2 linked regions of the Caenorhabditis elegans genome follow. The protein of the gene in region 1 purifies or fractionates together with the protein of each later gene. This does not show direct contact. Each region holds a gene or a part of one and is shown in the gene's direction. Other genes may lie near its edges.

Evidence for each region.
Region 2: the proteins of txt-18 (region 1) and C10A4.6 fractionate together in Caenorhabditis elegans (co-fractionation; one large-scale study listed by BioGRID). This does not show direct contact.

What each region holds. Positions count from the first base shown.
Region 1 is NC_003280.10:6,342,056-6,346,041, forward strand, and holds txt-18 (transcellular chaperone signaling (x)cross tissue), read left to right. Parts: upstream 1-2,016; 5' UTR 2,017-2,252; coding exon 2,253-2,267; intron 2,268-2,328; coding exon 2,329-2,560; intron 2,561-2,675; coding exon 2,676-2,829; intron 2,830-2,872; coding exon 2,873-2,979; intron 2,980-3,027; coding exon 3,028-3,302; 3' UTR 3,303-3,460; downstream 3,461-3,986. Other genes in the region: C32D5.8 (protein-disulfide reductase), read right to left, coding at 1,175-1,319, 1,365-1,650, 3,784-3,856.
Region 2 is NC_003284.9:7,388,765-7,391,957, forward strand, and holds C10A4.6 (G protein-coupled receptor), read left to right. Parts: upstream 1-1,805; 5' UTR 1,806-1,835; coding exon 1,836-1,953; intron 1,954-2,000; coding exon 2,001-2,154; intron 2,155-2,200; coding exon 2,201-2,307; intron 2,308-2,351; coding exon 2,352-2,626; 3' UTR 2,627-2,678; downstream 2,679-3,193.

The sequences.
Region 1 (3,986 bases):
TTTCTTCATCAATCAATTTTAATGAAAAACAAGTCTACTTTCCCTTTCCTATTTTGGGTGTTGTCGTAGAAGCTCTATTACTACCAAATGTTGGCAATAAATAATGTAGTTGATTGATTAAAAAACGTGATAGTTCAATTATCAAATATAATTGTTTTTATTTCAATTATTCCAGAACCTACCATACTGCTCATTTCAATTTCTTCGTTCATCTTTTCCTTTTTCTCGTCTCTTCTCTATTATATAGATTTATGTCTACAGCTAATATCAGTCAAGTTAGAATATTTTGTGCCTGTGTTTGTGTGATTTGAAGTGGGAAGAAAACGAGAAGATTGATGAATAAGAAAAAAGAGGTTGAGAACGACGAGACGGGACTGAAAAGTGGGCGGGGTCTGACTACTCTTCGAGTCACCGCGCACCGAAGAAGACAAGGTGATTGAATGTGTGCAGCTGCTATCGTCATTTTATTAATTTTTTTTGGAAAAGTAATAAGCTGAAAAGACGAAAAAAATCGTTAGAAGCTTTGGAATGTGAATGAAAGAGAAATAGAAACATTGTCAGATGGGCGGAAACGAGAGGCAGGTGGTGTTGTGACGCAAATGGAGAAGAATGGAGCAGCAAAATCCAAAAGGGAAATAGTGAATAAAAAGAAGAGATTGAAGATGTTGTCAAGGCAACAAAGACCGGATAAGGTGTGATGTACTCTTGTGGTCTGAAAAAGGGTATTTTCAGAATTATGTTGTGGTTTCAAAGAGTGTTTGCTTACTATGTTCAAGTATCTATAGATCTCTAGTAGTCATAATTATTTTTTGAGCTGTTAAATATCTTAAAACCTTCGTAGAAAGAACAATTGTTTTCTTGTACGTCAGCTATGATGGACAAGTTAAAATCTTTCCAACTGACCAATTAAACGTTCACACATCATTCCCTTTGTTTACACTGACTTTTGAAGAGAACAATTCGTAATTGATATACTGAAAAACAAATGAAGAATCGCATGGAATCAATAAATATATTTATTATTGTTTACTGCCAATTTCCATACAAAAGAGAAATATTTTAGGATCATAGGAGAGATGGGTATTGCAAATGGATGTTTAGATGGGAATGGCTTCAAAATGGTTGAACAAATCGAGAAAGATGCATTGCAGAGAATTATGTCGGCAGATTCGGCTTAAGCCTTCCACTTGGCGACGGTGGCCTTTGGATCCTTTCCATTTTGCACATCGTTACGTCCATCCTTTGTTACTTCAGTACCGTCTGGCTTGACGATGATGAGAGCTGGGATTCCGGAAACTCCGTACTTGGTGGAAAGTTCCCTGGAAAAAACTAGTTAAAGAGGATTTTATAGAGTTATAACTTACTTGATGGCATCATTTCCATATGGGATATGGTACCAATCACCGTGCTCGCTCATATACATTTTCAGATCACTCTCGCTACGATCGAAAGAGACGAAGACGACCTCGAACTCATCTTCAACCTCCTCATAGAAATCCTTGAGAATTGGTGTGAAGCCGCGGCACGGTGGGCACCAATGAGCCGAGAAGTAGAATCCGACGGCCTTTCCAGCTAGAGCTTCAGTTGCGTCGACCAACGTTTTGTCGCGTTTTTCAAGTTTCACTCCAGCCAAAAGAGACATGTTCTTTCCTGAAAATATATATATTGGAGAATCAATATAAGAGTTGAGAAATTGATAGAATGGGACAAGGAGAGTTTAGTCCTAGGGTTTTTATATGAAACTTTCGGAACAAAAACTAAGGAAAATGAGGATGATGCGGAGGATGAGTCAATATCTCTATGATGAAATGTATGAGGAACATGTGTTGTTTTAAGATCAACAAATATCTTTCACTTTTAGTGATGTTGGTTTTGAATATTTTGAACTAGTTTTCCATTTCATTATTGGAATGAATTGTATGACAATCTACAGTAAATTGAATTCGTGATGAAAAGAAAGAATCAAAACGAAAAACGGGGGGAGTTGTTGGTGTTGTCAACACACAACACTCTGACAAAACTGAGAGAGATGTTGGAGAAGGGAGGAAATAGTTTACAATAATTGGAGATTTTGAACTGGGTCGCTCGAAACGAGTCTTTTTCTCGACGCTCTAAAATCTGCGTCTCAAATTTTGCGCACTTTCATATATTTTCTTAGCATTTCTTCACTTTCTAATAACATCTGGCGATCCCGATTTTCATAAGTTTCTCCACTTTTATTTCTAATATTTGGTCTCTACCGCTTTGAAAATATGGAGAAGTTCATAGTAAGTCTGAAAAGCTAGGATCTACGTTTTTCACGTGGTTTTCCAAATCAAAAAAATTTAGGATTTACTAGAGTTTGGCTCAGCGGAGCAGAAACGAAAAATGGGTCGACCATCAAAGATCCCTCCTTTCTCACATTATGACGCGTATAGAAGATCTGACATCGACTTTTTCATATCATTGTTTTCTGGAAGAGAAGAATTATACAGTCCGTGCAAGAAGAATAGTGATTTTCGACAGAAAGCGTTTTATATTATAGAGAAAAAATGTGGACATTTTCTTGCAATGAGGAAAGGTTAGTTTTTAGTTTTGAAAATGTGATTTACGAAAAGAGAAAGACTGTTTTTGATTTGGACTGTAAACATGTGAACAGGAATAAACATGTTTATGAACACCACATCAACTTACAGGTAGAAACGCCGAAAAGTTATGGTTATACCTATTCAATGATTTTGAAAAAATGATTAGAAATGGTGGTGATAAGAATGATGAGAAGTCCAAGTCTATAGTTCCGTTCTACGATTGTCTACAATTCCTTATTCCTTATTTGGAAAAAACAGACAGGTATGAAATGATCTAGATTTCCGAAACGGAAACCTTTTTCCAGCTTGTCAAAATTGACATTAACGACTTGCAATGCAGAAGCCGATGATCAACAAGTAAAAGCAAAAAAGCCAAAGATTGAGCATGAGCTATCAGAAGACAAGTTGAATGGTCTGAACTGTGATTTAAAGTGTATGTAAATTACAAGTAATTTTTCAGATGACTGGCTTCAAAAAGTTATAGATACGGTTACATGTCAGCAATCTACAAGTTGTACAAGTATACAATTGAATTCTTCGGCTCCTTCAACCTGCTCTGCAAAAACACCTAACTCAACAGCAAATCTACCAACTTCTGAAAAACACGCAGACATCATAGCCTATGTAACAAACTTTTTAGAAGATGTGCCAAACGACAAGTTGATGCTTCACAAAGTTCGATTATTCCAGTTTATCGAAGAAGAAAAGTCTAGGTTGAAAGAAGAAAGTAAATAAATTGAAAGGAATGATAAAAAAGAGTATAGATTGGAAGTGATAGTCTATGACTAGAAAGCGAGACACTCTTGTTTGTTTATTCATGATCATGGTCTCTCCTATATGAAACCACTGAATTTTTGATCGCAAATACTTTTTTCATGGAATGAACAGGTTACTACGAAATGCTCCGAATATCTTCTGATTGTGTGATCTATATAAGAAACATTAGTGAGCATATAAAAACGGTATCTTAGTTATTGAAAAATTTACTTGAATGCTAAACTGGGCTTATACTTTCGACTGACTTTCATCGTACACTATGGAATTGATATCTAAAAAATAAGATGACGTGGTGGTTGGTTAACCAACCATGTTAACCAACCAACCATGTACAACTAATCAAAAAGTAAACGTATAATACCCGATCGCAACGAAACAACTTTCGTGTTTATCAGGTCACCTGCTGAGAAACTTGCCAAATTTTTCAGTGTTTCACTACCTTTTGGGTCGACCGACATCTGCGCGGCACTCGTTGCTGGTTGTTTCGAATTCGAATTCGCCGTGTTCCCCATCACAGTCAAGTAATGATGGGGAAACCGATGAGATAACGAATACACCGTTCAAAAGGTAAAGGTCACGTTTTCGATCGAATTTTGCGATCAAATTGAAAAAAATAAGAAGAAGAAGAGATGGCAGAACATA
Region 2 (3,193 bases), on another chromosome or scaffold:
AAAGAACTAATTCGAAAATGATGCCAATGGCTAAATTTTCAATATTATCCTACTTCCGTGTATTTCAAGAATATGTTCTGAAAGTTGCGTGCCCTTTGTTTCTTTGCAGTTGAAGATCAGAAAATTTATCCGATAATAATTTCCAGAAAGAAGAAAATGAAATGTGGTCAGCAAAGTAAGAAAAAATGTGGAAGAATTGTTAAACTATTTTTCTGTCCATCGAAGAAATATTGTGCTGTTTCACATTGGAAGAAACGTGTTTTTCAATTTTTTAGTGCGTTTACAGATTATGTTACAGTGTTTGTTCTATGCTTTTGATTACAACCAGAAGTGCGCGGTAATCACAACAACCAAACTAGATGCTTATCGACAGTATAAATTTCTTTAAAATTTTCGAAATGCATAAAATTAAAAACATTAATCTATGATTTGTTGCAAAATTTATACTTGTCCCTCAAATTTCAAAGCTTTCAAAAAAATTTCAAAAAATTTCAAAGCCTTTTTAAAGCAACTGATTGACGGAACACTAGAATGACAAATGATGTCAAGGTTGAATTGTTTAATATTTTGAATATAAATGGGTTTGAAAGTTATTGGAATTTTTAGTAGGATTCGATGTAGTGTTTTTCTAAGCCTAAAAATGCAAAGTAATTTCACGTTTTGATAAAATTATAATTTAAATAGAAATGAACAGATAGAATGGTGCACTACACAAGTACTCAATTAAGATATTCTTTGAAATCGGCAGTTTAGTTTTGACAGTTTGAAAATTCGGCAACCCGGCAATTCGACAGTTACCAAGTTTAATAATTTTTGTCAGCTTTTGAAAATAAAACTTCAAAAAATGATCAAAAGTGTACATAGTTTTTATAGTGTGAGTGTTATAATGGATATTTCTATGTTCATAGTTTATATTTGATAATCTATAAATTTTGATATATTTTTGCAAGTTTAAAATTTTTTCGATAAATCAATATACATAATTTCCGAACTGCCGAACACAATTTAATTTTTTTTTGAGTGAAACATTGATCGAATTCAAATTCTTACCATAAAATATACGTTTGAATTAAAACATGTTCATGACTTTTCTTAAAATAAGCAGCTAACATCTTTTAAAAATTCTTCAAAACAAATGGGAATGCAATACAAATAAGGATGCAAAACAAATTTGAAAATTTATTTTTAACGCTCGCATCTCACAATTAGAGCATTTATAATAAGAATGCAAAACATTGCAAAAATATGGTATCTAAAAAATTTCAAGATGTCTTTCAGGAGAGCTGTTATGTCAACTGGTTCTTTTCGTCTAAAAAAAACGGTCAATTTCATGATCAAGAAGTATATTCGCTTAAAAGAAGCAGCTGGAAAATATTTTTGAAAATTATAAGTTCGTGAAGTATGGGGCATACTCTTTCCAGCACGCCCAACATTTTATATTTCTTGAAAAGTGGTGCCAAATCCCATTCCATTCTAATTTACACAATCGCTCGTTCTCGCATTCTTTTTGCAGGCAGAATTTTTCTGATGCTAATGAAACGCTTGTAATTTTCTCGGCTTTCTGTACTGAAATGAGTGCTGTGAGGAAGATTATGCAGAATTGCTACAACGGTTTTGGCGCTTCAAAAACCATGTGATTGTATTTGCATTTTGTTCAGTTTTTAAATAGAAACTACAGCTAATGTTGAGACAATTTTTGTCTATTTGGTTTTTGTCTGTGTGCTATTAAAAAAATATATCACTGAACGTTCATATTCTCTAAATCTTATCTATTGACAACTATCTTCTGTGAAAAAAACCTCAATTTTCAGAATCTCACCAAACTACCAAAAGAAATGGTTAAAGACTTGCGTTCAAATTCACTAAATGCTCTTCAAATGACTTTACGTCTAACTCTTCTCATATTTTCAGTTGCCATTGTTTGCCTCTATATTTCCATTTTATATCTGGAGAGTAAGTATATAAATTATCAACCAATTTTATCAATTAAACATTTTCAGAGACCTATCCGAGAGTCGATCCACACTACCCGCGAAAACTGGTCTACATTTGTTTCCCCAAACAAGACAGCTTTGTTGCTACCTACATGGGTATCATACGTACCTTCGATCTGGTCTTAAGTGTATTCTTGGCTGTTCAGTGTGTCGTATTGGGGTGAGAAATTGTACTTTTACATGTGTATCACATAATGAATTTCAAGCATCTCTACATCTTTCCCAAGACTCCACTGGCCCATCTCAATTATTTGTGCAGTTCGCTTTATCTTTGTTCTCGTGGAAATTGTTCACATTTCGTCTTTTACAGGAGGTATTTTTTGCTCGAAAAGTTTTATGCTGAATTTGATTTTAAAGACACTCAACTCGACTTCATCCTCAGTGTCAGTGATGGTACATGCAAAGTGAACGAAAACCAAATCACTGCATTCCGGGCATTAGTTGCAGTGTTCACACTTCGATGTGTCAAAGGATATATAACAATTAATATGGCAACTCTAGCATATGGAAATAGCATTCTTATCTTTCTTTTTGGTTTGAGAGCAGTGCAAACGGAAGCCCAACCGAGGGAAGTCAACGATGAGCGCCAACTGGATGAAATGTCTAGTCATCACATCCATTTAACTGTATAGTTTCATTCCTGTCTAGACACTAAAACATTGTTTTTATAAATACTTCAAATGTCGAATTCCAACAAAATCAGCTGCAGCTATGATGTAACGGCGTACATGAACGGGAAAACGCGTGGGATTTATAAAGTTTAATGTGATAGTAAAGTGCAGGTGAAATTTGTTTTAAAAAACTTATAAATGTTCAGAGTTACTTAATTAAGTAATTTAAATGACAAGATTATTGAATTTTTCAAAGAACATTGTTACATTTTCACATACATCTTGTCAGCGCATATGATATTGGTTGGTTCAAATCAAAATTTGGTTAATTAAAACTAAACTTGGTCAGTGCGAATTGAAATCGATCAGTGCAACTCAAAGTTGGTCAGTGCTTACACCAAATTGGTCCGTGCAAAGTAAACCTGCTCAGTGATTACACCAAATTGTTCAATGCAAATTTAACTTGGTCAGTAAACCTCATGTAAATTTCAGTCACAAGAAAAGGTTCACTCTATGTACGTTAACAACAAACAGTGTTTCTCTTTAACTGAAAATCTCTATGTTTTAAAACCTTCTCATGAAAAGATT